Oryzias latipes: one gene and its partners. The protein of the gene in region 6 purifies or fractionates together with the protein of the main gene of each other region. This does not show direct contact. Links are inferred from orthologs where the notes say so. Each region holds a gene or a part of one and is shown on either strand. Other genes may lie near its edges. The genes, in order: cdk4, ppp2ca, grb2, ruvbl1, supt16h, otud5 and cnp.

Evidence for each region.
Region 1: the proteins of otud5 (region 6) and cdk4 purify together in Homo sapiens (affinity purification with mass spectrometry, with the first as the bait; 4 studies listed by BioGRID). This does not show direct contact. The link is inferred for Oryzias latipes from reciprocal best matches to the Homo sapiens genes OTUD5 and CDK4.
Region 2: the proteins of otud5 (region 6) and ppp2ca purify together in Homo sapiens (affinity purification with mass spectrometry, with the first as the bait; 3 studies listed by BioGRID). This does not show direct contact. The link is inferred for Oryzias latipes from reciprocal best matches to the Homo sapiens genes OTUD5 and PPP2CA.
Region 3: the proteins of otud5 (region 6) and grb2 purify together in Homo sapiens (affinity purification with mass spectrometry; 3 studies listed by BioGRID and IntAct, with this or other methods). This does not show direct contact. The link is inferred for Oryzias latipes from reciprocal best matches to the Homo sapiens genes OTUD5 and GRB2.
Region 4: the proteins of otud5 (region 6) and ruvbl1 purify together in Homo sapiens (affinity purification with mass spectrometry, with the first as the bait; 3 studies listed by BioGRID). This does not show direct contact. The link is inferred for Oryzias latipes from reciprocal best matches to the Homo sapiens genes OTUD5 and RUVBL1.
Region 5: the proteins of otud5 (region 6) and supt16h purify together in Homo sapiens (affinity purification with mass spectrometry; 3 studies listed by BioGRID, with this or other methods). This does not show direct contact. The link is inferred for Oryzias latipes from reciprocal best matches to the Homo sapiens genes OTUD5 and SUPT16H.
Region 7: the proteins of otud5 (region 6) and cnp purify together in Homo sapiens (affinity purification with mass spectrometry; 3 studies listed by BioGRID, with this or other methods). This does not show direct contact. The link is inferred for Oryzias latipes from reciprocal best matches to the Homo sapiens genes OTUD5 and CNP.

What each region holds. Positions count from the first base shown.
Region 1 is NC_019863.2:27,221,900-27,226,471, reverse strand, and holds the start of cdk4 (cyclin-dependent kinase 4), read right to left. Parts: upstream 3,000-4,572; 5' UTR 2,775-2,999; intron 1,068-2,774; 5' UTR 1,061-1,067; coding exon 843-1,060; intron 767-842; coding exon 631-766; intron 536-630; coding exon 368-535; intron 1-367.
Region 2 is NC_019872.2:4,039,591-4,044,118, reverse strand, and holds the start of ppp2ca (serine/threonine-protein phosphatase 2A catalytic subunit alpha isoform), read right to left. Parts: upstream 2,917-4,528; 5' UTR 1,885-2,916; coding exon 1,783-1,884; intron 1-1,782. UniProt on the Homo sapiens protein: Catalytic subunit of protein phosphatase 2A (PP2A), a serine/threonine phosphatase involved in the regulation of a wide variety of enzymes, signal transduction pathways, and cellular events.
Region 3 is NC_019866.2:20,734,922-20,738,402, forward strand, and holds part of grb2 (growth factor receptor-bound protein 2), read right to left. Parts: intron 3,056-3,481; coding exon 2,933-3,055; intron 2,588-2,932; coding exon 2,419-2,587; intron 1-2,418. UniProt on the Homo sapiens protein: Non-enzymatic adapter protein that plays a pivotal role in precisely regulated signaling cascades from cell surface receptors to cellular responses, including signaling transduction and gene expression.
Region 4 is NC_019863.2:3,779,512-3,782,989, reverse strand, and holds part of ruvbl1 (ruvB-like 1), read right to left. Parts: intron 1,040-3,478; coding exon 888-1,039; intron 767-887; coding exon 677-766; intron 1-676. UniProt on the Homo sapiens protein: Possesses single-stranded DNA-stimulated ATPase and ATP-dependent DNA helicase (3' to 5') activity; hexamerization is thought to be critical for ATP hydrolysis and adjacent subunits in the ring-like structure contribute to the ATPase activity.
Region 5 is NC_019876.2:21,315,580-21,319,746, forward strand, and holds the end of supt16h (FACT complex subunit SPT16), read right to left. Parts: coding exon 3,950-4,167; intron 3,852-3,949; coding exon 3,733-3,851; intron 3,325-3,732; coding exon 3,086-3,324; intron 3,005-3,085; coding exon 2,929-3,004; intron 2,833-2,928; coding exon 2,663-2,832; intron 2,592-2,662; coding exon 2,462-2,591; intron 2,391-2,461; coding exon 2,264-2,390; intron 2,195-2,263; coding exon 2,120-2,194; intron 1,400-2,119; coding exon 1,296-1,399; 3' UTR 707-1,295; downstream 1-706. UniProt on the Homo sapiens protein: Component of the FACT complex, a general chromatin factor that acts to reorganize nucleosomes. The FACT complex is involved in multiple processes that require DNA as a template such as mRNA elongation, DNA replication and DNA repair.
Region 6 is NC_019865.2:31,811,297-31,815,336, reverse strand, and holds part of otud5 (OTU domain-containing protein 5), read right to left. Parts: intron 1,797-4,040; coding exon 1,732-1,796; intron 1,659-1,731; coding exon 1,502-1,658; intron 1,432-1,501; coding exon 1,283-1,431; intron 1,125-1,282; coding exon 939-1,124; intron 525-938; coding exon 320-524; intron 1-319. UniProt on the Homo sapiens protein: Deubiquitinating enzyme that functions as a negative regulator of the innate immune system. Has peptidase activity towards 'Lys-48'- and 'Lys-63'-linked polyubiquitin chains. Can also cleave 'Lys-11'-linked ubiquitin chains (in vitro).
Region 7 is NC_019866.2:5,979,709-5,984,321, forward strand, and holds the start of cnp (2',3'-cyclic-nucleotide 3'-phosphodiesterase), read right to left. Parts: upstream 3,153-4,613; 5' UTR 3,014-3,152; intron 2,092-3,013; exon of another isoform or gene 2,086-2,091; 5' UTR 2,053-2,085; coding exon 735-2,052; intron 660-734; coding exon 532-659; intron 436-531; coding exon 1-435. UniProt on the Homo sapiens protein: Catalyzes the formation of 2'-nucleotide products from 2',3'-cyclic substrates. May participate in RNA metabolism in the myelinating cell, CNP is the third most abundant protein in central nervous system myelin.

The DNA of each region.
Region 1 (4,572 bases), on a different chromosome or scaffold from region 6:
ACGTCTATGGGATTTTGACTTCTTGGAGCCAGTGGTTACTTCCTGTTTGGAACGCCAGAAGGGGAGGGGTCACTCAGTCCAGCTCTCCTTTACACTCAATGGTAGCAAAGCCGATTGTTTATTGTGTGAGTTATCAAATAGTTATGGTATGTAAAAAACGCAAGTTATTTAGGTGTTGCCAGCGACACCATTCTGGTGTTAAACGGTCAGGGTTGTGTCGTAACTGAAAATGATTTATTCCAAGAAAAGAAGCCAAAACAGACAGCAAAAACAAATGAAATAATCATCTCCAAAGCGATTGTTCAAAAAAACAACATTAACCAAACCGCTGCTGATGATCAAGACGTGAGCACACAGCAGATCTTACCACAGGAGTGAGGGCCATGTGGCAGCTGTATATCCTCGCTAAGCCAAAGTCTGCTAGTTTGACCTGGCCCTGGCTGGTCACCAGAATGTTCTCGGGTTTCAGGTCTCTGTGCATCACGCGGTTTGAGTGGAGGAAGGAGAGGCCAGACAGCAACTGCTTCATCAAGTCCTGAAGACAGAGAAATATTTCACACAAAAAAAGAAAGAGAATCAGTTCCAAACAGTAGCTGCCATCAGTTTTTATTCTTTTCTTCAGGGACTCACTTTCACGCGCTCTGGTGACAACCCTGGAGCTGGAGCTCTCTCTAGATACGTTTTCAGGTCTTGGTCCACATGCTCAAACACCAGAGTGACTTTGGTTTCCTGGTCGGATCTCTTGGTGGCACACACATCCATAAGCCTGGATGAAAGTAGCAAGCACTGATGAGGTGGAGGGGGGGCAACATTTGAGACAAAACCTGTGATAACTCTCCTACCTGACCACATTGGGGTGGTCAAACTGCTCTAGGCGCTTCAACAGCGCCACCTCTCTGACCGTGGACACCGGGAGGCCATTTTGGTCAGTCTGGACGCGCACGTTCTTCAGGGCGACGAACTTGCCACTCTCGATGTCGCGAGCCTTGTAGACGGTCCCGTATGCGCCACCACCGATCTCTGCCACCGGCTCGTACTGCAGACCGGTGCACTGCGCCATGCTCAGACTGGGAGACGAGACTGGGGTCATCTCACATTTATACAGACACCTCAAACTCCAGAGCAGCACTTTTGAGGGATTTACTGAGGGAAAAAGTCTTTAAAAGAACCACTCCAAAAGAAAACAGCGTTTCTGGTTGTTTGACATGTTTTGGTAGCATTTTCTTCTCATGTTGGAGGACATATATTAGGAAAATTGAAATTAAAACTGCTTTACTACTTCTTCTTTTTTCAAATCATAGTGAATCAGGAGCAGACCAAAAACTGCTGTTAGAAAAAGTTTTTACTTGTATACAAAATACAATCGGCGGGCCTCAAGCTCCCTGTTTCTGTCCATGCAGATACATCCACTCGCAGATGACTAGATCCATCTTCGTTTTCCTCGTCTGAGCTAGTATCTGGCTCAAAGCTATATGGCCGGGTAACTCCAATAATGATCACCATTTATTTGTGCTGCTTGCGGTTGTGAGGGACTGTAAGCTAGCAAGACAGAATGCAGACAAAGGGATGATGGGAAGTCAGGGCAGGCTTGCTCAACACAACTCAGAGGAAAAATTTTGATTACCGTAACTCCATCTGCTCTGCAGAAACTATGTCCTAGAAAATTACACAACATTAAAAGATCACTGGGAACGCTTTTAAAATAGATCAAATGATGATTGGAGTGGCTCTTTAGTGTTTTTAAATCAGGAATCTCTCTCTGCACATAAGGAATGGTTTGACAATGATGCCTGGCTGGATTGATCCCTTCCCCAGAGTGACATGTGACATTTGTGTCACTTTGTGTCAAAACTTTCCTGAGCTTCTCCTGTGCGTTTAGTGTTTCGTTTTCCTGCAGCAAGTTTTTCTGCCTCTGCTGTTTGTTTACAGCATAGAAACCAGAGGACAAAAGAGCCGCAAAAAGATCAATTTATACACATTAAAAGCACATTTTTGAGAGACTTTTGCATAAAGCACCAACACAGTGGAGCATTTTTCTTTAACTTGGTTTATCCTAAATGATGGGAAAATGCTTTTTGGTAATTTTTTTGGAAATGAATATATATACTATTCCAGATTAGAGTACATGGAATTATGTAAAAACTTATTTTTATAAATCAAACAACATACAATAAATAGAAAAGAAATAAAATTCACAAATCTATAAATTTTTAACTAAAACAATCATTTCTGTGTTTTGGGAGAGACACAGTGAGTCCAGAGTATAAACTAGGTGAAACTCCCAACAGCCGTTGTTTGAGGGGATCTTCTTGAACCAGTTTGCGCATGACAGCAGCTCGTGATCACAGAAAAATGTATCGATTATCAGATAGGCAAAGCCGGACGTTCGCCCTCCATGTCTCATTCATTCCCCGCCTTATCAAGCGAGAAGCAGGCCGGTGACTCCAAAGCAGTGGGCGGATGTTCATGTGAAATCAGTAGGCCGGGGCAGACACGTGGTGCTCCTCTGTGGCAGTCCTTTGTTAATTTAGAGCAAGAAAATGCAGCAGAAACAGTCCACATGCACTTTTCTAGCTCACACACGCACACACACGTGTCTGATCATTGGTCTGAACGTGGCGGAAGAAAAAGCGGGGGACTATAGTCAGCGGCGGAGGAGACACATCACCGCCTTTTAACTTTTCACATCTGTTCAACATAAAAGCGTAACGCGGCAAAACCATACTCCTCCGCAGGTTTGTGTATTCGACAGGTCACACATAAAAAAAGCTTACCTCGGCCGTTTTTTTTCTTTAAGGGCAAGAGAGCTCACTTTAGTTCGAGCATGCTCGTTGATCTGCCACGTTTATCTGGAGCAGAACGGGTCAGAGGTGGCAGGTCGAGTCCAGGCTGAAGTTTACGGCCGAACAGCGACTTTGATGTGGAAAAGATTTCGGCCTCCGCCGCTTTCCTTCCAGCCTGCGCTCGTTTTCGGTTATCTTCCTGTTGCTTTAGCTTCTCAGGGGGCGGAGCTTAAGTTTTTACCACAAACCATTTGAAGAAAAAAACAAAAAAAGCTTTTTGTTATCAAAAGCCACAAATTCGTGCGACCTATTTTTTGTTAAGCCGTTTTATTTAAAAAAGGGGGGAAAACGACCCCACTTGCTTCACATAAGAGGGAGAAAACAGTGATTTACTGTTTACACTAAATAAAAAAGAAATGGACAAAAATGTTATAAACTTGGAAAGCCTATATCTTATTATAGAGGTTTTTAATACATATATTTCATTTTAAGGCAATGTAATTAGGTAATTCAATAATCAAATCATGGTTGATTGGGTTTTTTATAAGATACCTAACTTTTCTATTCTTCAACCAGAAATTAAGTCAATAAACTAGAGTATCTTCACTGGAAGTGTTTTATTTTTTTTCACTCCATTGACTTACACAACTGCAAACTATCATTGTGGTTGTTTACACCACAGTTAAAACTGTGGTTTTGTTTAGAGAACTGAATAGATCAATGTTAAAAAAGAATTAGAAAATGAATGTAATTAAATATGTTGAAAGAAAATATTTACATTGTTAAAAAAAAACCTTTTATACAAATAGTTGAAATTAAAAATCTCAATCTCTAAAAAATTATTTAATTCAGTGATTTGGATTTTCAAATTAAGTGAATGTCAACATTTTAATGACGTCCACAATGTGGTTTTCTAATTATTTTGATCCTACGGTATGCTGCCTTCTTTTTCATGAATGTATTGTAAAGATTAGTATGTTAACATTAATGATTTATTTGTAAATAACGGGTTAAATAAAAAGCTAAATGTGTTGTAAAAACATGATTTTTAAAAATATATGCACATCAGTTTAAATATTTTCTTGAGAGTTGATACCAGCATAGTTTTTAGTTGTTCATTAATGTTACCATAAAAGCTTACTTTAAATTTATTCATTGCAAAATGAGACAAAATTGGTCAAAATTTTGTCCTATTTTAAAAACAAACAAACAAATAAAATACACCCTCAAGGTATAAAACATTTAACTCTGTTCAAAATAAATTTAATGCAACATTATGTGGTAAATTCAATACTATAAAATGCCAGTTTTGCATGTTTAAAAGATAAGAGATTAGACCTCAAGCCAGAACTTATTAAAAGTTCACTAACTTACATCGTAAAATATTTAAACTCACAAATAAGAGTTTCCTCAATTTTGATTTTTCAAATTAGTAAAAATGTCATTAAAAAAAATAATGTCATAAAAATAAAAATATACAGAAAGGAGTAGTTATTATATTACCCAGTGTTGTCTGTCTTTAAGCCACTTTTGTAAGATCTGGTAAAAGAAGTGCCATCAAGTTTGATCTGTCCCCTGTCTCTGGAGGAATCATAGTGACCCTCAAGGGCATAAATGTCCCATGTGTGTCCATTTACAGTGTGCTACACAGCTGCAGAACCAAAGAGGGGATGCTCTTCACTGGAGGCAGGAAAAATACAACAACTGGGTTTTTTATCTACATTTATGGGACTTTTTCCTCTCAATATTTCAGACACACAGGTCTTTGTCTGCCCCAAGATGATCAAAC
Region 2 (4,528 bases), on a different chromosome or scaffold from region 6:
ATGAAGCTCCAGATGCTAACGTTCAACAGACCTGAGCTGAAAGAAAAAACTCCATCTGGCTTTGACTTCAACCAGTAGAATATTTGAGAAAAGATAAGTTTAAAAGAAATCTCATTGGGTTCAAAGAAATAGCACTTTCACTCTACTCTCAGGACGAATTTTTCCTCTAAACCTAGAGACATTCAGAGCTAAAGATCGGCACAGAGATCGGGGTTAAGCCGCAGCTCAGACTGCTATAGTGTGCAGAATCTGTTGACCAGCTAATAAATAAAGCACAAGCATATGTAGACTTCACATCCAGCAAATGTCAACATCAGGGTTAGGGGTGGATAGGCTGCTACTTTATTAGCAAAGTCAGCAGCTTCTCAGCCTGGAAATGGTTTGCTAGCACTAGCACTCCACTTTGCAGGATGTATGACCCATCAAACAACCCAGGGACAAAAGGAAAGCATGCATGCATCCTTTCTAAAGATGAACAATAATTAACTGGTTGCCTCCTAACCATTATCACTACTTAAATGGAGAAAACCATTAGAACTCTGAAAATACTCTTCATTCATTATGTTAATTAAAGACCCACTATGATGAAGATCCTGTTCTTTGGTGCTTTAACATGTTCTTGTTCTGTGATGATGGAGGACATATATAAAGAAAATGTTGCTCAGAATTGCATTTCTGGGTTTTTCTTTTGTCAAATGATTGTGAATGAGGAAATGATCATCGGCACACAACCTCCCTGCTCTGCTCCGTTCTGATGCATCCACTTGTAGACAACTAGATCCACGAACGTCTTTGTTTTCCTCGTCTGGGCTGGCATTCACCCCAAAACTGTACAGCTGGGTTGCTCAAATACTGCTCAACCATTTTTGTTGCACTTGTAATGTTAAGTTAGGGGTGTGAGTGGCTGTTAGCAAGCAGGAGAGCATGTAAACAGTTGTTTGATAGGAAGTGGGGGCGGGGTTGCTCTGTGCCAACAGTCACAACTGAGGCAATTTTCTAATGCCACACTGCACAAACTATGTACGCCTCACCTAATGCCATAATTATTAGTAAAAAGAACCCTGGGAACGATTTTACAAAAGATCAACAGATGGGCGGAAGCGGACCTTTAAACTGCATCCACTGCAGTGAAGCGCTTTCAATGTTTATTTCTGCACCCAAAAGCCAGACTGGAAGCTAAAGAACCCTAAATGAATAAGAGCTTAAAACGGGATACAATATAAATGTGCTCTAAACTTTATATTCAGTGAAGATAAAGGTTAACAACTAAAAGAAGCTGACTAAACCATTTACGTCCAAACAGCCTGAGTTGACCAGAAAGATGCCTGATTAAAATGATGGTTTTACTGCTACAGAGTGGGGTTACTTTCAGAGCAGTCCCAAAATCGGGGGGCTTATTTTAGCCCCCGGGATGGGGGGTGGGGGGTAAGTAAAGCAGACTGGGGCTTTTTGCTGCAACAGCTGCCTTAGGGAGATGCTGCAGTCACCGTGGCGCCCGCGAGGAGAGCAGGGAGGGGAGCGCCGCTTCCAACGGGTCTGCACCCCGGTAAATCCCACGAGCTGCCCTCCGAGCGTTATTTCCTCCCCCCGCGAATGAGCAGACCGCTCAAAACCATCACAGAGTGGGGTTTGGCAGTGAGGGTCTAATATCGCGCGGTGAAATCTACACTCCTTCTACTATAGACGCCATCTTAAGAATCTCTGAAAAAAGCCACAAGGAGGAGGAGGAGGCGCGAGACCAGACGTTAACAGAATTTGGGGTTTAAAATAAACTCGTCTTACCTTTTCACACAACGTTTTCACCTGTCCTTCGGTTAGCTGTTTGCATTCGTTGAGCTGCTCGATCCACTGATCGAGTTCTTTCGTGAACGCCTTTTCTTCCATTTCTGCTGTTTTTTCTTCACCGACAGGCGCCGCGGCGGTTCACCAATGAGACTCCGACTTCCCTGAAGCTTACAAAACGTTGACCGCAGGAGATGGTTTCACTCCGACCGACAGAGGCATGGACCTCCAGCTGCCAGATCACTATGAATTGACAGAAGAGGGGCGGGAGACAGCTCTGTTTGGCGATCCACCCTGAAAAATGGTTCATGTGAAGACGTCAGTGGTCATACGCTGCATTTCCGGCGAAGATCTTCAAGATAAAAGCACCACGCACCAGACTTACCCTGTATATAATATTTCAACTAATTAGTGGTTCATCTGTTTTTGTTTCCTCAACACCTATTCTTTTTCCTCTATCAAATTTTTTTTCAAGATATTTATTTAGAAAAATCACGGTCAAATTAAAACAAACACTGTTTCTTGTTTCATTTCATTTTTAAAATGCTTATTAAATTAATTTGCTCTGAACAAAGTAAATGTAATATCGATTTATCAAATGTATTACTAAATTTCATCTGAAGTACCTTCTTGTTTATTACTTTCCTGTTGGTTTTTGCAAATGTAACTTAATTTTCTTAATGAACGATTTGCCTTTGTTAACTTTATTTTCTTTTGGGAAAAGGTTTTTGCATAACTAAACAAAATAGCAATTTGAATAAAAATAGTTACATAAAACTAATAATTTAATAGTGTAAAATCATTGCAGTAATTAAGCTGAAACTGTAAATAAACTAAATCAATTAAGCATCTTTGGGGAAAATCAGCCCTGATAACAATTTATTTCCAAATTAGCAGTAGATATACTACTATTCTTTTTAAATATCGACATTTTTTTTTCTTCAAAATCCACACAGTTGCTTAAAACAAATTTTACATTGTGTGAAATATCTAAGTAATTTTAGTAAAGAACATCCATAGACGGAGAACAGACACATTCTTAATCATTTCTTTTGTTTTAATTCTTTTAATTTTTTCAAATCTGACATACAGCATCTGAGTCCATTGCACAAGTTTTTCAAGTTGGAAAATGGTCATTCTGTAGAAAATGTGCAAGTACCACAATAAATATTAAACAATAAGTACTAAATTGTACCTGAGTGCAACCCTTATATGAAATTGTTCCGCTATTCATCCCTAATGTTAACTTGTGAAAAAGGTGGATGTTGTGTATGTTGAGCCAGCTACATTTTAGGTTTTTATTTGTGTTTTTGCTGGATTAAATTGTTATAGCTGACACAAAAAATGAGGGTCTGATCATCTGCAGTGATGTTTGGCAGCTAAAAAAAACATTCATTCGTTCATTCATTCATTCATTCATTCATTCATTCATTCATTCATTCATTCATTCATTCATTCATTCATTCATTCATTCATCTTCTTAACCGTTTATTCCCTTTCGGGGTCACGGGGTTGCTGGAGCCTATCCCGGCCACTTGGGCGTAGGCAAGGGAAACCCTGAACTGGTCGCCAGTCTGTCGCAGGGTGGAATATCCTCAATCAAACATCCATTTACTCTCACACTCACACCTATGGACAATTTAGAGTTGCCAATCAACCTATGTAGCATGTGTTTGGACGGTGGGAGGAAGCCGGAGATCCTGGAGAGAACCCACGCATACACAGGGAGAACATGCAAACTCCACACAGAAAGGCCCCCATTGATGTTCAAGTTCCAAGTCCCCCAGCCAGGACTTGAACCGGGGGCCTTCTTGCTGTGAGGCAAGAGCGCTAACCACTGCGCCACCGTGCAGCCCGCTAAAAAAAAAAAAAAAAAAAAAAAAAAAAAAAAAAAAAAATTGTGGTTATTGTGCTTTTACTTTGAAAAACGCACTTCCGTTCTTGTTTGGTTGCTTGTCTCACATTTGACTCAGCAGAAAATGGAGTTCGATCCAAACAGAGACCCGGACGGATGACGACAGCGCTTCCTCTGCTGCCTCATTGGCTGTTTTTTTTAAAGAATGATTTCTCAACCTGCATTACAGAGAATACATCATCCTCCACAAAAAACATGAACTTTGTAGTTTGGCCATGATGTCACGGGTTCATGAGCAAGGCAGAAGCAAACAGAACGCAAACGTACCTGTTCTAAAAATGATGTAATCCGGTTCTAGCTTAAAACATGAAAACCCTATTTAAAAAATTAAAATAAAGTCCAAACGAGTTATGGTTTGAGGTTGTTTTGTTTTTTTAACGATTTTATTACTCTTGTATAGTAAAATAATAAATGACTTGTCAAAAACCTGCTTAACTGACTAACATAGACCTTTTCTTTACATTTTTTTACTACAATATGACTATTAGAGGGGCTATATCAGAATTGATATTCTATGTTTTGTTTGGTTCTTTTCTTTTTTTAATGTTTATTCATTTTTGTTTTTATAAGTCTTGAGTTCAGGTTTTTATTTTGAAAGAACTCCTGCAAATATCATATATTATATAGTTTTAATGGAGTTTTATATATTTATAATATATAGTTTTACTTCATGTTTTTTTTTAATTCAGATTGATCCGAGACTTACTTCTTTGCCTTCAGCTGGGAAGCTGAAGCTCACATTACTGATTAATGTACAAAAAATGTAAAGTTTGCAGTCGTCTTGCTTTTTCCTGGTTTAGCAGTGTAACAGAATTCATTGCTCTGACTGTA
Region 3 (3,481 bases), on a different chromosome or scaffold from region 6:
TCTCCATTTTAGAAATGTTCATATTCAATGTTCCCATTAAAGCAAAGTCAAACAGAACGTCCATCTTCATCTCACTAAGCCCCTCCCTCCTCCGTCTTCCTCTCTGCTGCTGTTCTCTAGATCAGGGGGCTCCAACCTTTTTCAGGTAGCGGACCGGTTCAATGTCAAACAATGTTTTCAAGGACCGGTCCAAAGGGGGCCAAAGTTTGCATTTCATATGTTTAAGCTTCCGGTTTCTGAATCTAAATCTAAAATATTTGTGTTTTTACTTTTACAGGTGATGACGGTTCAATGAAACCAAGTTGCTGATTTGTAGAATGATTGAATAAAAACGTCATTAACACAGAGAATTCAACCCAGGCTCTGATCATCTTTCAGGACCAAAAGATTTTTCATATTTCATTTCTACATAAATCCTGATTGATCGTGTTTTTTTTGTAACACAGAGGAACATTTTCTGTGCCGAGTTTCTTAACACATGCCAGCGTAATTCATCCATGCTGTAGGAAAATTCGTAAATGTCCTTTAACGTAAAAATAAGTATTTTCTAAACGTAATAAACGTGAATCCACCGTGTCTGCATCTTTATCAGATTTATGCAGAGCGGCTTCTGGTACGCGGGAACGACTGTGAATCTGTATTTGGAGGAAGACTTCTGGTTTTGTCTGTAAATAAGGTCTCAATTTTTCGATGAATTGGAAGAGTCTTCTTTGGTTTCCCTGCAGACTCTTTTCTCCCCAAAGAAACTTTCCAAATACATTTATTTGTTGGTTTTATTAGCTTTTAAGCGTTGAACAGCTGCCTAAAGTCATGTGACGCGTCCAGACAGACGGATGTGGTGAACAAAATTCGGTAGTTTTCCAAAATAAAACTTCCTTTAGTATCAGAAAATAGACAAAACAGAAATAATCGGAGTTGGAGTATGTATTTTTGTTCTGTCTGCTACCCTAACCCTGATACCGGTCCTGGGTTTGGGGGACCGCTGCTTTAGACGTCTTGTCTGATTCTTCGTCACAGCATCGCAGTCTTCTCCGTTGCATTTACAGTTGATCTCCAATGCATTGGACTGAGAGGCCGTGGTCGGACGCCGGAGCCTCCACAGCTCCACGCCTGAATGTTTCCCGTTAAACGGCGGCATTAATGTCGATGCATTCACTCAGAACTGGACCAAACGTGTTGTTTAGTGCAGCCATCTCAATCCAATCACGAGAAAAAGCTTTTAGCAAAAGAAAGAAGGCGCACAAGCATTGAAGAGCTGCTTTTACAACATCTGAATTGATTTGAATCCATCACAGAACATTCACATGAATGTCTATTTTTAACAACTGTGACTAAAAAGAACAGAGTGCAGCAGAGCAGGAGAGGTTTTTACTACTATATTCTTTTGTTTCTGCAGAATTAAACTCCACATACCACATAAATATATGTTTGGCTGAGTTTGCAACTTGTCCTGAGGTGCGACTGATATGTATAAAAAAAAAAAATCAATAGCAACAACCACGAGAGGGCGCTGTAGATGTGCGCATCAGCATTTCCTACTGACAGCGTGACAGAAGAAGTGGCGCTCAGTCCAACACCAGGCTTGGCGTGAAGTGTGACGCATTTGTGATCTTTTTCTTCTTTCTTGCTCCTGTGACTGTCAAGTCTGGAGCGACTCATAGTCCAAAAAGATACAGTAATTTGTCAAAATGTAAGTTTTTATATAAATAAAAGTACGCATTTTTAACAGCTTTCCATGTATTGGATCATACCACGATGAAGTCTGGATGGTACATAGTCTTGAATGCGTTTAGGATTTGATTGTTATTAGTATTTTCAGTGCTGCTCTCCACAAAACCATGAAACACCTTTGTGACTAATATGAACATGCAGGAATGAAATGATCTCACATTCATCTTTAAAGCGCTTCTGTGTAATCCTGTACTCCAAATGTCAGTTTAACCGTTTGTGACACTGAAATGTGGCCGATGGCACAGCGTAGCTGCAATAAGAAATACTTTTCAAAGTTAAAACGACCACAACAACAACAAAAAAAAGGTTCTGCTCTAGTTTACGTCCATAAAGTCTTTAAAAAGAAAACCTGTGACATTTAGATTTTACGATGCATCATAAAAATGGATCAGCTAAAAGAAAGAAAGCTCTGATGCGAATCAGAAGCATTAGGTGCAGTCATGTGACCTCGGCATGTGGTGACCTCAGAGTGGTTTTTTTACACCCACGGTTCCACGCCAAAGATCCGCTCCACGGCAGGTCTTCCGCTGAGCTCACATGTGGTCGGGCTGCAAACCCATATGCTGGGACATTTGTGTCTTCATGTATTTGCACAGAAGGTGCACATGGACAGTCAGTGTGCTCCATCAACACAGAAACCAATCCTTAAGCCCCATTTTTAAAGAACAGTTTAGTGGGATGTCTTACCTGGGGAACCTGCTCTATGTCTCGCAGAAAGATTTGCTGATTGCGGGAGACTGAGGTGGTGCGGTGGTAATCGACCAACTCATTGAGAGAGTTAAACTTCACCACCCATAGGAAATACTTTCCAGCTCCATCGCGGAGAACCTTGAAGTGCTGCACGTCATTTCCAAACCTGCAGAGAACAGAAACTCAGACTCTGAACAGTGTGGTGGAGAAGCAGCTAAATGAAAGAGAGTGGAGGGAAGCAAAGAAAAAAAATGCTCCTAAAAACATTTTTATTACTAAATGAAAAAACAAAAGCAGAAAAATTGTAGTTTTATCAGAAATTTGTTTTCTAAAAACATTTTTAAAAACTGGAAATAAGGGAAAAACCACAAGTGACTCAAACTCCGAGAACATAAATTTGTTCAGAAATGAGGAAGCACGTCACGCCCAGGTTGAAGGGGAAAAATATGAATGGAAAAACTAATGCGAGTAATTTTTTCCTGGATTGTGGCGTCAGAGTGCGGCCGCTCACTTGACAGACAGGGAGAAGTCCCCCGGTGCGCTCTCGCTCTCTCTGATGAGGAAGGCCCCATCGAGCCTCTGCTTGTTCAGCATCTCCTCCGCTTTGGCGCGAGGAATCTTCCCGAAGAACCACCTGGAGGACGGCAAACACAACAAGAACTTAGTTTACACATGGGACTTTAAATCAATAACCATTTTGGTTTGGGATCACTAAGTTGATGCAAACGTGCAGAAGAAACCGTATGGAAGACACCTCTGATGCTACGTTCACACCGCCTTAAGCGACACAGGTTCAAGCATCCACTTCAGATGAAAAGTCTATGGAAACGCTCCTAAATATGGGTTTGGGCCTTCCGCAATCAAAACTCACACATTTACGCGTAGCTATGAAAGCTTTTACGACCATTTTTCAGGCTCCATGTAGAAAACGCGCTGCCACTGAATGCGTGTTGAAAGTTAAACCTGGTTGATTATTGACCAATCAGGGACTCTGATTTGGTAGCGATGAACGGTGGCTAGCGGCCCTTTTAATTCATGGATGTGCCAACCATTTGAAAAT
Region 4 (3,478 bases), on a different chromosome or scaffold from region 6:
ACAAGGACTACAGAGGACAGAGGGCCTGGAAAACCCAGCTTTGGCCTCACAAAGACACTAAAGTCTAAAAACGCATCACTATGCATCGTCTTTAAAACAACCATCTAGTTTGGGTTAATACAGTCACTTCGATCAGGTTCTAATTAGTTTGAAATACAGTTAAAATAAAATGACAAACCACTGACGGCTGCGTCGCAAATGAGTACAATTGCAACGCAGTATTCTTTATAAACAAGTAACAGTACCTACCTAACTCATGAACTTACTATATAGGTGTTGTAGGATGACTATGTGTGTGTGTGTGTGTGTCAGCGCACTGTGTGTGTGTAGAAGGCAGGAGCACACCTTACCGCTGTGAGGTCATCACAGCGGTAATACGGGTATTGTCACACCCCTAGGTATGAATCCAAATATTGTTCAGATAAACCCCGACACCCCCAGGTCAGGTGTTTGTAAATCTAAGCCTCACCAAACACAAACCTGAACTAAAAGTCTGTCACTCAGAACAACTGAGTTAACTGCAGCTTTTTAATGATTTTTATGAGCAGTTTTACATCAAAGAAACACAAACTTTGAAAACAATAAACATGCAATCCTCATTTAGAACTAACAAAAGAAAAACTATTCAGTAGGGATAGAAAGAGTAGATAGATTTGAAACCTGTAGCATCACCTACCTTCACTGCTCCACTGTTTGCTTCAATGTAGATGACGTCTCCCACTTCCACACGCTCCTTCTGCAGACTCTCATAGATGCTGGGATCCAGCTGAGAAGACACACATTCTTTTAGGTCATGCATTCAGCCATAACTTGTGTGAATAACAGTTTTCTTTGTACGTGAATGAGAAAGAACAGTAAGTGGTGAAGGCTGAATCTTCCCGTCTGACCTTGAGCTGCTTCGTGCCTTTGGCCGTCTTCAGGCCGATGATGACGTGGCTGATGGTTTTGCCGTAGCCTCCCATGGGATTCTCGGTCTCGCAGGGGGTCAGCTCTGTCACCTCCCCTTCATACACCTCCTTGGTTTCTTTGATGCGCAGTCCTGCGTGTGGGAGGCATTTCAGTCAGGCACACACGCTGCAGCCTCAGCTCAAAGGCCTCTTTATGTTCCTGTCTCAGCTAAGCTGCCACATCTTTCAGACTATCGAACTACGTATTTTATTAAAGGGAAAGAGCCAGCGCGGGTCTATGACATGCCCGTGTGTAACATGACCACACTGGCACAGCCTGTGGACCTGGGAATGAGCACACAGGTGGGGACAGAGAGCTGCGCTCCACTCTGGGACTCAGTCAGTTATTGATAAGATGATGACAAGCTGCAGTTGACAGCCACTTCTTCCTGTGGATCCTGTACCAGAGGTGGGGCAAACAAGCTGAGACCACCTTTACCTAATCCCCGCTTCCTCTGTGCCAGACATCAGAATGCAAAGACCAACTCCTCCACCCTCTCATAACAACCCCCCCCCCCCAAAGAAAAGTGTCAGCAATCTGCCTTCAGCTGTGATCTTGCAGTTTACAATTAGACAGAGAGAAATACCTTTTTTTCCCTTTTATCTTACTCTTTCATACTATTTTTGGATTACATTAACAGCTGTAGCAAGTAATGGGTAAATGTAATTCACATTTATTTTAAATAACTAGAAACAGGCCAGAATGTTTGAAGACTGCAGAATCCCGGTTGAACAGAACCTGTGCAAAGTCAAAAGTCCGTGTCTGCCTCCAAGCACAATGCCAGGCTAAGACACTTGATTGGATGGAATCTGGACCAATCAGCATGAACCCTCTTGTCTGTGATTGGCTGTTTTTGGTGGCACATGTCACACTAAACTAAAAGCTATGACCAAAACGTCAAAGCCAGGGAGAAAGCGAGATGAGAGACAACCTTTGTGTTGCAAACACAAAAATTAATTTTGAAAGCAAAGAAAGATATTCTAAAAGTAAACATTTCACATTTTGATTTGCAAATTTGAAAGTTTTGCTTTTAAAACGGAACATTTTGTCTGCAATTTAGGACGTTTTGACCTGAAAACTGTGACTTTTGTTGGCGATGTGGCGGCACAAATATCCCTGCAGGCGGCTGCAGTTCAGTTTTCCTACGATTGTTGAGATGAGGGCGTCAGGCCGTCTACACGGCGATGGAATGACTGCGTGTCACTCTGGACTTGGGGTTTTATAATCACAAAAAAACCTGTTGTCTCGTGAGATCAACTTCTTATTGACAAAGAGAACTATAAAAAAAAAGGAAAAAAGTAGGGTAGGCGGTTTTCAGCTGCCATAGAAAACAAAGACGTTCATAGATTTATGTGTCTGCATCGGAATGGAGCGGAGCAGGAAGCTTGTGGCTCACTCATTGTAGCTCCGACATCACTGCTACAAGCTTTTTCAAACAGTATTTTTCATCTGCTTTTGATTCCCAAGGATTCAAATAAAGAAATACTCAGAAATGCAATTTTTATCTCAATTGTCTTCACACATGTCCTCCCATCATGAGACGAATGCAGCAAGATCGTGTTGAAAACATCAAAAACACTATTTTCATTGGAGTGGGATTTTTAAATGTCTAAGAGTTCATACCACTAACAACATACAAAGCAGCGTTAGAAATAAGGAAAAAAACTGGCAAGTAATATTTGGTTGTCCGCCCCAATATTAATATTTGGTTGTCCTTCGATACCAATATTCAACAGCAATGTAACCTACTCAGATGTCAGTTCTTACATCTTTATTTCTTCTATACGTCTAATATCAACTGCCTCTTATGATGGACATTTAAAAAAATCTTTAAATATTAAAAACAAACATTTAACTAACTATTGAAGCATCTGGTTACACAAAGTATTGCCATGTAAATGGTAAAACGGCGTATACTTATAAAGCGCTTTCTGCCTTCTTTCGAAGGCCTTAAACGCTTTACAGTCACAGTCCCATTCACCCACACACATTCACACACTGATGGCAGTGTGCTGCTGCCGAACACTGGCACCAACCTCCCACCAGAGGCAAGGTGGGGTTCAGTTGTCTTGCCCAAGGACACTTTGACACATGGGTGTGCAAGGCGGGAATCGAACCTGCAATCTTTCGATCATGGGTCGACCGCCCTACCGCTGCACCACGGCCGCCCATGTAAATCAATTACTGTTACGGTCAGATGAAAATACTTTATCTTACCCTATAATATATCAGAAAATTGATTAAATTGACCAACACTGTAACTTAATGAGTATTTTTCAAATTTAGAACACTTGTATGGACTGGGACTAGTACAGCATTCCAAATATAAAGTAATATTTATATGTGATGAACAGTTATGATATGATATAAAATCTATTTCAAATAAACACATGTAAATGATACCATGTTTACATTGTGTGCTGCACTAGCAGTAAAGACTAATATCCCTGATCTTTTAAACCAGACATGCAGCTGCAATGTTGTCATTTTGCGATTTCTTCGGGCGTACTCGGATCGTTCAGACGTCACG
Region 5 (4,167 bases), on a different chromosome or scaffold from region 6:
TAAACTTTTAGGAAGAGAGCTCAGGTTCTTCTGTTTGTGGGTCTGTGTTGAACAAAATAATCCAGAGGATTAAATCTCTACAGGTCTGAAAATGCTAAAAAAAGAAAAAGCTAAATAAACATCAGACAGAGTTTTGTTTTGACTATAATCTAGTTCAGATCCATCTTCCAGATTGATATCCTTCAAACTTCTGATTTGGGTCTTCAAGTCTTACCCCCCCCCCCCCACCCCATTTTGAACCTTCCTCCTGTGTAGTGAATGTTTGGCTTCTCCTATGGTGGTTGGCGGCGCTGGTTTGAATCCCGGCTGGGTTCTCCTCGTGCACCTGTGGGTTCCCTCCACCAGACCGCCAACGTGCTTCATAGGTCAATTGGTGTCCCAAAATTGCCCCTGGGTATGAATGAGTGTGGGCTTGCATTTGGTGATGACCCGTTCAGCGTGTGCTGGCTTGGCTGCTGAAGCTCTGAGCTTGAAAGGTGGGTTCTGAAAATGGTAGATGGGTTTCTGGCCACAGCGCGATGATTCTTCGGCTCACAGATGGAAAAAAAAAACTTTGACATTTGTAATTATTCAATGTTTTGACTTTAAAACAAAACCCTAACCCGGTTATCATAACCATTTACAGCGAACGGTTGGAAAAAAGAAAAAAAATCTGCAATCCCTTCAAACTGAACCTGAAAGAGAAAAACAGTCCAGAGAAAAGATGCCAGTTCTTTTAGATTTTATTACAAAAACAGGATTTTCAGAGTCAAAAGTACATCATACCTACCCCCCCATGAGAGAAAACATGAAAGTGTGACAGGTGGTGTGAGTCTGAATGCAGGAGTTTACAAATCCCATAAAAAAGAACAGGAAACGTGCATCTGCACACCCCCCCCCCCCCCCCCATTTAAAAAAGGCAAGTGCTCAACTTCAGCTTCAACTTTAACAAAAAGATGAAGACGAGGAATCAGGATGTTTCCATATAAAACAATTGGCAGAGAATATTCCATCTTTTATTATCACTCATTAAGAAAAAGATTTTTCAACTGAACATAAACAGTAAAACCAAATTTAACAAACACACACAACCAAGACGCCTGGTGATGAAACAAAGAAGAGCGATGAAGACCAACTGTCCTGCTGCCGGTTCTCTTTTTACAACCATGATGCACCGGCAAGCCACGCCCACAGGTTTCTGCATCTATGTACACATTTGACATATGGGGGGGGGGGTTTGGGGACACGGAGGAATCCTGGGGTTTGGCAGTACGCATGGATGTGCGTGTGTGTGTGTGTGTGTGTGAGTGAGATGTTTAGTTTCGCCGCTTCTTCTTGGTGGGTGGGGGGGCTGGTGCTGTCCGACCCTTCCTCTTCTTGTTGGACGGGTCTTCGTCCTCGTATTGACTCTCTCTGTCAGCTAGAGGGCAGCAGAGAGAGAACGGCTTTAATAAAGATGGGTTCACATCAAACGCCATTGCGCGGCAGGGGCGTCCGCTAATATACAGACATGGTCACAGGTCCTGTCATGCAATTTGAGGGTCAGGCGCGGCGTGACGGTCTGGGAGCAGCTGATTTTGGGCAGAAGAGCGAAAGGTCCATTATAAATATCTGAACTTCAGCAAAGGTTTGGTGTCGTGTACACCAATCAGGAACTCAGCTTTGTGATGTGTGATCTGTGATGATGTAATCAGTGGGAGGAATCCAGAACCAACATAGAGAAGCTGATCGTTCCCCTTCTGAACTTTTTGATAATATTCTTCTCTGGATCAAGACAATAGTAGGGATGTCCCAATCCAATAATGTAATTGGAAACCGGGCCAATCACCTAGTTTTTAGAATCGGATGTTTCGTCAGGGATCGAAAATTTATTTTAATCTTATTATAAACAGCGCTATAAATTTCAAGCTTTATTTTATGAACACATTTTGTGGGCAAGTGTCCAGCAGTGAATTCATCAAAAACAGCTGGAGGATGAATATTCGCCGCATGAATGGCGTTTGGTTTAAATGCAGCACAAGTCATCGTCATCCTCCTCCTCGGCTGCAGCTTCAAACTTCTCCAAACATTTGCAAATTGGAAAGCAAACATGGACTTATTTGGTTCCAAAACCAGAGCCCATTTGCCTGCACACACAAACCTTTGCGAGCTTCCTCCTCCAGCTCGTCCCAGTCTTTGCCGCTCTCCTCCTCGCTGCCCAGCGACGCACTGTAATCTGAAAGCACACAATCAATCAGACTCCGCCCACAGGCTCAGCGCAGGCAGGGGCGTTCAGACGTCCTACCAGAGTCTTCCGTTTCTGAGCTGTAGTCCTCATCACTGTCCTCCTCCTCTTCCTCTTCTTCATCAGCTGATGGGTTGAACGTTTCATCCTCAATTTCAGACTCCGAGTCTTCCTGCGCATCACTTCCCTGAGAAACAACACGATGGTTAACAGGTCGACACTGGAAAAGGACGATGGTTTTCCCAAAAGAACGCTCACCTCACTGTCAGGGTCCAGGAACGACCAGCCGCCCTGCGCAAAGAAGCCCTCGGGATCGTCAACGATGGTCTTCATGATCTTGGTCCAGTTCAGAGACTGAACTCCTTCAGTGTATTTGATGTCACACGAGCTGAAATCAGAAGAAACAACGTCAAAGCTCTGCCTCTCATCACCCGATTGGTTTTTATCCATTGGCCTTACTTGAGCCACTCCTTGATTGGATCCAGTGAGTTGACAGGCACGGCGTTGATCATGGTGACCTTTTTGTTGTAGTCCTTGTAGACGATGACAACGTCAAAGTTCTTCAAGTGGAACTGCACACGCTCAAAGTGGACGAGCTCCACTTCATCCAGAGTCACCACGAACGGAGGCTGAGAAAACATTGGGGGGGGGGGGGGGTGTCATTTTACAGATACTTCCTGGTACATTTCAGAATAAAAACGCCTCTCGTGAAAAGCTTTACGCACCCATTCAGTGACGTTAACCAGAGAGCTGGAGGTGGGCTGCAACAAGCAGGTGCTCCTGTAGGGGGCACCCTGGAACCTGAAAGCATTTAATAGTCAGCGAATCCATTCAGAGTTCCTCCTTTACAACCCCCCCCTCCATGACCTCTTCTGAACTCACCCCAGGTCTCTGAAGGGGACTTCGAACTCCAGCTCCTCCTTTGTCAGCGTCTCCACCTTCTCGATGAAGTTCTTGAAGGCAGATTTCAGCTTGTGCCTCATCTCGCGCTCCATCTGCTCGGCGTACAGGTCGTCGCGGTCGTGCATGTGCTGGTGTTTGCCCAGGTCCGTGGTGATCTCGCCCACCTCCGTGTAGAACTGCACGTCTGTGTGTCGCCGTTTCCCAAACATGATGGCGTTCTGTAAGGCAGAATGGTCAGGTTGAGCAAATGAGCTGAAGGACAACAAATCAGAGACGCTTCAGAGGTCACATGATGGAAACATCTGAACTTTCTAATCAATCATCTTTTGATCCATTTTCAAAGTGTTCTCAGTTGTATTTTAATTAAGATTATGTCGTTTTCAAAACCAAAAAAACCTGTGCTACCTACCATGTGTGATGATTCACAAGATTTTAATCTTGTGAATTCTCAACTTTATTCTTGCTAAATTCTGACTTTTATCCCCTCATAAATAATAACTATATTATTGTAAAAGGTATTTATTTTTATGGCGGCCCTAATACTTTATCATATTAACCTAATTTAAACTGCACTGCCTTTTTCTTCTTAGCTAAAGGGAAAACTTGGACGCCTTTGTCAGCCGTACCTTCAGGTGGAAGTGCAGCACTATGATCATCTCGCCGTCGCACGGCTGGAAGATGGCATGTTTGATGTTGTTGTAAAGGATGTCCACCTTGTCTCCGCGTACGGATGTGAACCTGAACCCTGAGCAGAAAAATAAAGATGGCTGTTTGTTAGGATTCCTCCTCTGAGGGTGGTTTCGGAAGAGTTTCCCTTCAGGCTCATTGGTGAAGACAACCAACCGTTGGTGTGGGCCTCCAGAGAGCCCTGCATCCTCTTCTGAGCGATGTTGGGTCTGATGTAGAGGTCTTTGAGTTTGGGGTTGCTGCGGTTCAGGTTGATGACCAGCGAGTCCTGCTTGACGATGCCTTCCTTCTCCTTCTCCTCAGCCTCCCGTGTTTTGTAGCGCTTCTGCACCTCCTTGATGATGCGGAAGGCGTTCTGCAGGTTGGTGGAGGGC
Region 6 (4,040 bases):
TCGTATCATCATAACTGATGACTGAATTGACTTTGAGTGGGTGGAGCTTGAAGTAAACCATTTTGTGTTGGTGACGTCACACTGGTGCGGTTCAGGTCTCATTTACAGTCGGTGGGCAGTAGTCTAGAAAAACTGTTTTTGTTTTCTCAGCACATTTCTAACTGTATAGTTAAGTGTGCATTTCATCTATAGATTCCTGCCACTGGAAGAAGTCCCGCGCCCCCACAGAGGGTGAGAAGAGGATTTTCTTTTTTTTAATGTGCATTTATATGTGAAAAACAAGGACAGGTGGTTCTGGGAGATCCTGTGTGCGCCTTACCTGGGGCGCAGGGCGAAGGGGGCTTGCTGAGGATAAGAGCAGCTCCAGTGGGGGAGGGGGGCTTGTTGTTGGCTGACGTGGCAGATGTGAGGTCAGAGTGGGAGGGGTCAGAGTCGTGTTGCCGTGGCGACCGGGCGCTCCAATCATCCAGCCCGCTGGAAGCCGCTGCCGTGGCTGAACTGCAGGTGGCGCTGGCCTTACGGGGCTGAAACGGAGAAGAGATTTGACCCGCGTCCGCTGTGAGTGGGTGTTCAGAATCTGCCTGGACATTTGGTCACTGTGAAGTCAGATCTAACCAACAAACAAGAGCAAAGATCAAACAGAACCTCACTTGGTTCTGACACATTCGTTTGCTGCTGGTGCTGACGTTGGTTTCATAAAAACTGTCACTTGTGTTTTAGTCCACAGTGAGCCAGATAAACTCATTGCTGGTCTTCAGGAACCAGGATCTTATCAGACTTTGGTTGAGGTCCAATCACTGACTATACAGAAGATGAGCGAGAGCACAACACAAACGACAAATGCCAACAGTCAGGCACCAAATTTAGGCTCTCCGCTGAAGCTGGGGGGGTCCTGAACCTCACAGTGCTGTCAGGGAGGTGTGGTCCTGCCACTGTACCTGTCTGGCCTGCTTCTGCTGGTCCTGCAGCCACTGCAGGTATGACTCCCTGGCCACCTGCTCCTCGATGGCTTCGTTGGTCGCCTCCCAGTCGGTTGCCCTCTTCTTGTCCTCCAACATCTGCTGCTCGATCCACGACTCCTCAGACGTCTTGATGGCCGACTTCATCAGGGACTGGTCTGCATACTGGGAGGGAGAGGTCAGGAAACACAGGAGGTAATGAGAGTGGCTCAAGCTTTGTTCACACGAATGTGAAGCAGCTGATGCAGATGGCTGTGTTGAGCGCTTAGACATGACAATGTTTAGGCTGGTGGAGCTGGTGAAAAGGAGATGGGTGCTGGTACCCCCGGCTTGAAGGCGGGCAGCCCCAGTCCGACCCCGATGGTTGCCTTGTTGGGGTTCACCACGGAGTTGTAGTGGATGTTACGGTGGTAGCTGACTCTGATTGGCTCGTCGTTGTTTTGATGGATGCCGTGGAACGTGTTGATTGGCTCTGATGGAAGAAGAGGACAGCCGTGAGGCCGACGGCTGAAGGCTGGTTTCAGGCGGACAGCACCACTTACCTGTGCTGTACTGGTACACCTCCACTGGTCTGTTGTACATCTCGGCCATGGCCTGCATTTCAATGTGATTGCCGTGGCAGTTGTTTTTCCTCTTCCTGTTGATGTATGTGGTGAAGTCTTCTGTCACGTAGTTAGAGAAGTAGTCGGCATTCTTCATCTGAAAGCCAGAGACTCTTCATTAACTGTGAACTAGCAGAAAAACATTTGAGATGACCAATGTTTCCACTCACCAGATAGTCCATGCAGTGTTTGCGCACCACCTCATGCATGTCCTGATCTCCGTACACCTGATCAGCTGAGACACAGAGAGGGTTTGGGTTAGAGCAGAGGTGTCTCACTCCAGGCCTCAAGGGCCGACCTCCTGCTGGTTTTCCAGAAATCCTGCCTTCTCTGCTGGATCCCTGGATCAGGTGTCTTTAGCCAAAAACTAGCTTCCATGGCAGGCCCGAGGCCTGGATTCTGACAACCCTGGATTAGAGGATCTGTCCTTTAGAGCAGTGGTCTCCAACCACCGGGCTGTGGACAGGTACTGGTCTGTTGATCAATTGGCACCCAGCGCAGAAGAATTAATTAATAATGCCTGGTTCTTTTTTTTTCTTTTAAGTTTCGACAATCTTTTATTTCAAAAATCTTTAATTTTGAAAAATATCCAGATTCTGGGCGGAGGCCCCGGGGAAGGCCCAGGACACGCTGGAAAGACTACTGGGAATGTCTGGGGGACCCCCAGCTCCTCTGGGGAGATGGAAGTCTGGACATCTTTTTTGCCCCCGCAGCTGCCCCCGCAACCCGCTCCCGAATGAATGGAAGGAGACGGATGGATGGATGGACGGACGGATGGATGGACGGACGGACGGACGATAGGATGTATGGACGGATGTATGGATGCACGGATGGATGGACGGAAGGATGGATGGAACGACGGAAAGACGGACGTTACTAGAGATTGATGTTCCACTGCTGTTATCTGTTGTTATTATTATTATTAAAAGATTTATTTTTTTGTGATGATCAGACGTTTTTTTTTTCTTTTTAAAATCGGACCAAAATTAAACATACCCGGCAGCCCCCACCCCGTTCCGCCGGGCTGCGGTAAAATCCCCAGGGGTTGACCGGTCCGCACCCACATAAAGGTTGGGGAACACTGCTTTAGAGAACACCCAGGGCTAAACTCCAACGGTTTAAACCAAGTCAACCATCTGCAAATGTTGCCCTGCATCTTTGACCAGTCACCTAAACCTTTTGGAAAAAGTTTTTCAATCTCCTCCACCGCCCACAATGCACCCAACTCATGTATGCAATGCAGAGACAGAAGACCAGATTACTGCAGAGAGCACAAAAGTCTCTGGGAATCAGGACAAAGTGACAGCTAACACCTCAACAAGTCAGAGTCATGGTTGGGGGCTTTTCTGGCAGAAATAAACGCTGAATTAGGGGTGTGACAATAACTGCATCTACGCACGTTTTTTTTTAAAGTTCTGTATATGGTGCATGATTGGAACTATAATAAACAGATTAAACACATTCATCTTTTCTAAAAATTTATTTTTTCTGCTAGTCCTGTGTTCATACTTCAAGGTGAGTGTGCGACACGGCCGGAGGATTTTGTGTGTGTGTGTGTGTGTGTGTGGGGGGGGGGGGTCGCAAGAGTGGGGGGGGGGGGGTGTCGCAAGAGTTCAGGCACAGCGACTCTTTTATCACAGCGGTGATCAAAAATCCCACACCGTCACAGCTCTACTCCAGAGCAGTTTAGTAAAAAATCTGTCAGTGTTATTCTAACGGAAACCTTTTATTACTGTTCTTCTTCACTCTGTAACACCAAACATGAACGCGCACCGTTAAGGCCTGTACACACCGGGACGAATTTCGCGCGCGATTTTCGCCGACGTTTAACGCCGACGTTTAACGCCTCGTGACTAAACAAAGGGCACCAATGAGAGAGTGTGCACACCGACGCGAAAAAACGCCACGCGTCAAAGCGTCAAAAAAAACCAAACGCCTCGGGTTCGTTTTTTTTTTTTGACGCGTCGCGTCGAAATCTATTCGACCAATGAGAACGGCGCTTTTGCACACGTGTCTGGAGCCTCTGAAGTTACAGTAAAACACAACTTGGGGGCGCTCAAACACAAAACTGCCTTACTGAGCACACATACCAGCGAAGAAGATAGACACCGAGTTGCATCTACACTGCCGCAAAGAAATAATGACGGACATTCTAAAATATCCCCGAACCAAACACCAGTTGGAACAACTGGTGCTTGAAATATTCATGTTTTCTTTGTATGATTCTGACAAGCGCATAAATACTTGCTCTCTTCTTCTGAGTGAAAAGCGACTTTAACAAGCGTAAAGTTGCGCAGCGCCACCTGGTGTACAGAAGTATTTCTGTTTTACATTAAGCGTCATCTAATGTCAGGAAATGAAATTGCATGTTCACTCGGCTCATCGTCAGCGAAAATCGCCTGGGTGTGAACACAAAAAACGTGGCCAATAACGCTGGCGAATAACGCCTGGCAAATATTTGTCCTGTTGTGTGCGGGCC
Region 7 (4,613 bases), on a different chromosome or scaffold from region 6:
CTTCTTCTCTGGTTCCTTTTTGGGTGGCTCTTGCTCCTTGTATGCATAAAAGCTGGAAAAACAGGCGGGAACGGCAATGGGCTCTCTGAGTGTGAGCATCCACCTTCCTTCACCATAATAGATCAACGAGCCCAGCTCCATCTCAAGCGGCTCCCCCTGCTGGCCCTCTTTCTGCAGCGCAAGGATTTGGAGCAGATCTACCCCCGTCTGAACGGGCTCTGTGCCCTCTGCGCAGCCCAGAGTGATGTGGGCGCGACTTCCCTGGGGCAGGGAGGCGGCTGCGGCGACGGCCGACTCCACCTCCTTCTCAGCATCAGCTGGCCACAGGAGAAGCTGCTCCTCGGTGAGGCTCACTCTGGCCCCCGCGGTGCGAGGGGTGACAAAGAGAGCAGTCAGCGACAGCTCAAACACCGACCCATAGGCACTTCTAACCGCCTGGAGAAAGGATTGAAAAGATTAATACAACAAAACCAACAACAACAAAACCTGAAAGGGCACAGAGCAACAAAATAAAATAAAATCAGTTCTTACTGGATTTTGTGCATACTCTTTGGAACCCTCTACTTTTCCATAGTTGCAGAACTTTGTGGTGCAGTGCAAAGTCCCATTGGCTTTGTAGTACTGCTCCAGATCCACCTCCTTCTCAGCTTTTCCTGTGACTTTAAATAAAAGATGAGATGCAAGTGAGTTCAAATGAAGGCATGACTTAATAGAGGAACCTTAGAGGAACTCACAGTCAATCAGGTGTTTCTTGAAGGCTTCCAGCGTGTCCAGAGTTTTCAGGAAGTCCATGGATGTGCACCGGATCTTCTCCTGCACCGCTGGCAGGAGAAACCAGCCAAAGTAAAGAGGAAGGGACAATTCCTCGTGCTGGACTTTCATTGCCTCCAGTTTGGCCTCGTCCAGTTGGCGCTTCGTCTTCTTTGCCAACTGTGCGACATCTAGTCTCCACTCAGTTTGTGGCTCCAGGAAGATCAAAACCAGGTTGTGCTCCTCAGCCATCTCCCACAAGCGGGCCACGCGGTCGTGGATGTGGTTGGTGTCATCCACCACTATTAGCACAGATGAGGCTCCGCCTTCCTTGCAGCAGGTGACCACAGCTTCATCCAGAGCTTTGTACCCCTCTGTGGACTGCTCTGGATTTTCTGGCTTTATGCCGTGGGCGTCGGCAGAGATCACAGAGCAGAGGTCTTTATAGGAATCTGCTATGGCACGGGCCAGAAAGCTCTTGCCGCTTCCTGGAAGGCCTCTGAGGACCACAAGGGTACGAGAGACTTTCAAGGCATCTTTGGTCTGCTCCTGATTCAAAAGGGCAAAAGACAGTGAGCCAGAAGCTGGAGCCACATCTTCCTTCTGAGCCTCTTTTGGTTCTGATTGAACACCTTCAGCTTGTGCTGGCTCAGCTGCCATTACAGAAGCAGACTGAGCATGGATTTCCTTTCCAGACTGAGCCGAGTCACCTTTTCCACCCTCAGCTGATCCCTCCTCTGACGCAGCAGCTTGTGCTGGCTTTTCTGAGGAAAGCTCTTCCCCCACTGCTGGTTCCTCCTTGGTCTCCTGTTTGGTGGATGGTTCTGCAGCTGGCTGCTGTTCCACAGCTTTTGAAAGCACCGCTTGCTCTTGCACTTCAGTTACCGGAGCTGGTTCTGCTGATTTCTCTGGCTCCGGTTCAGGAGCACCTTCTGCCAGATGAGTTTGTAAAGTCGGGAGCTCTGGATTGTTCTCTGGCACAGACGGTTGTTCGGCAGCAGCAACTGGGTCAGAAGCCTTTTCGGTCGAGTTATCTGGTTCAGATGGGGCCACCAACTCCACACCTTCTGACTTTTTGGCGTCTTCATCAACCAGAATTTCCGTATTTTCCTGGTTTTCTTCTGCAATCTGTCCTGCCACTTCTTCTTCAGCTTGATCATTTACTGGCGACTGCTCGGGAGCTTCGACAGCAGCTGCTGGTTTCTCAGGCTCCACTTTTTCCTCTCGATTTTCCATAACCGCCACCTCCTCTTGATTCGGAGCCTCCGGCATGTCTAAAACCTCACTCTTCTCAGTATCCATGCTTGTATTTGAAGCTTAGCGTCGCTCACCACCGTGTACCTTAAACACAGCCACAAAACCCAGCATTTACTGACAGTAAACTGCACAAACTAAAAAAAAAGAAAAGATCATATTTAAATCTCCATTTCCAGAATTTGTGCTCATCATTTTTTAAGCTAAAAAAGATTTAAAACAGGAAGTTGTGCAAGAAAAGGAGTTAAAAATGGGCCAAAACCACTTGCACAATGTGGTTTTTGACCCTTGAACTGAGCGCGTGAGGCTACAGAATTGATTTTTCTAGGTCTATGCAAACAAAAGGGGCGTGGTAAAAAAAGAAGCATTTTTTTAAGCATTTAATTTAGCAGCTTTATAGAAGCATTCGTAGGAGTTTGGACACCAAACCTCGCCTCCAGACAAAGGCTAATTAAGGAAATGCACGAGTGTTTATTGAATATAGTGACTTGCGAAAGCTTCCTTCGACAAATTAGAAAGATTAGAAGTTGCATATTAAAAAAGAGCCAAATGAAACTGTTTCTTAGAGAAAGAGGAAGAGCTAAAAAGGCGAATCCGTCAGGCGTAAAAGAAGACAGATAACGAAACTGAAGCACTATTTTCCAGGTTCCACAAATTAGTACAACCTAAACAAATTGAAATCAAATTTAACTTAAAAATATTAGTTAATAATAAAATAATATTTTAAACATTTGTTTTAAAGCGAATATTTTGGCTAATTTATGTTGGTTTGGTGCGGTGGGGAGTGGCGTGCACATTTAGCACGCGAGACAAAAACGATTTCTCCCCGCCAGGCGGACGCTCAGTCCTCTCTGCAACATCACAAAAAAAACACGCGAATAGTCTGGTTAACTTTAGTTAGCGTGGGAGAAATTAGTTAAACTGTTACCGTAACGAGCTAGCATCAACTGGACGTGCGCACGTGCTGTAGTAGCCTAGCATGTGAAAGGTTTTCTGAAACGCCGCTTACCAGTTGAGTAGCAGTGAAGCTGGAGGTGCTGCTGTGCTGACCACGTTATTGTCCCTCTGAATACAATGACAACGCGGCGCTGGCCGCAGACACGTTACTCTGACGAGGGAGGGGGGATTCAAATAAGAAAAAAAAAGGAAAACTCCCGGGAACGCGCAAGTGGGCAGGGCCAGGCACGCCCCTGCCAACCGGAAGTGGGCGGCACAGGAATATAAAATATTGTAAATAGTCATTTCTAATAAAAATACTAATAAATTAATAAAACATTTCATCTAATTTTTGAGACAAACTTGTTGTGGCTTTTGTTCAGGTCAAAGAAATTAACAGAAATGTGTATTTCCTTAGAATTTTACACGTTTACAGAAAGTTTATGTTTTTTAATGCATTTCATTGTCTGTTAATCCTGGGTTTTTTTAAATCAAAAAATTTCTTCAAATTGGTAAAGGAGTTATGGGTGTTCTTCATACAAATGTTCACAATGACACGAGAAAACACAGAAAAAGATTTCATCTCCTTCTGTTGAAACATCAGATTTTACTGCAGGGGTGTCCAAATATGTGAGGGCCAGCCAGTCAGCCTGCATTGTTAAACCCATTTGATAAAAAAAAAAAAAGAAAAAATACAAATGAACCATTTGATGAAACCATTTTGAAAGGGAATACTTTGTATAACACAAATATTTTCAAATACATCGTTTATCTAATTTACAATAAATTTCATATTTGAAGACCAGAACTGAAGTAATGAAAAAGTCTGTCTAAAAAAAAAAATCCACCATAAATGTGGTTCATATGAAATGCTACATATTAATATAAACTTATACATTGAAGTCGTGGAAACAGGAAAACGACACAAATCTGTATCTTCTTCAGAAGTAAAACCTCTGTGGTTTTGGTCACAGAAACCAATACATTTGTTTTTTTGGATCTGGCCATTAAGGCTCTGAAGGACAAGTAGCCACAGGCTGTTGTCACAGGTAAACTAGTGTAAAATGTAATTTAGCAAATCCATTTCAAGCAGCTTGTAGCTGGTACAATTTTGAACATGAGCTGCATTTAGCCCATGGGCCAGACTTTGGACATGCCTGTTTCAGGCTAACCCAATCATCTAAGATCTATACAAGAAAAACTGTTATTTGGGTGCAATAAAGATCTGTGATGTATTATTTATCGATTGCATGTCAACACTTAACCGGAGCCAAAAAGAATAAGAATTCAAAGCATTGGCGACCTACTACTGTATCTTTGATTGTGGATGCATTATTTCAATAATGATTTAAATAGGTAAAGCAGCCAAATGTTGCCTCACTTGAAATCCATTAGAGCCAACTGACTGTTAAATTCTTTTGAAAAATAGAGACTAAAAATCGTTCTCTAAAGAAAGGCCCTATATGCATAAATACATTTAATCACTAATGATTTTAGAACTCTATTTATAGAACGATAATTTACTTATCCAATTTTGGTGAAGCAGCTTCCCAACAGCTCATGCAAATGTTTAGATGTTACTTCTTCTATCAACCAGAATAATAACTGCAGCATCAGCAAGTCAAGAATTTTTTGAGGGTGTGGAAAAATGCTCAAATCAAAAATAGTGGTAG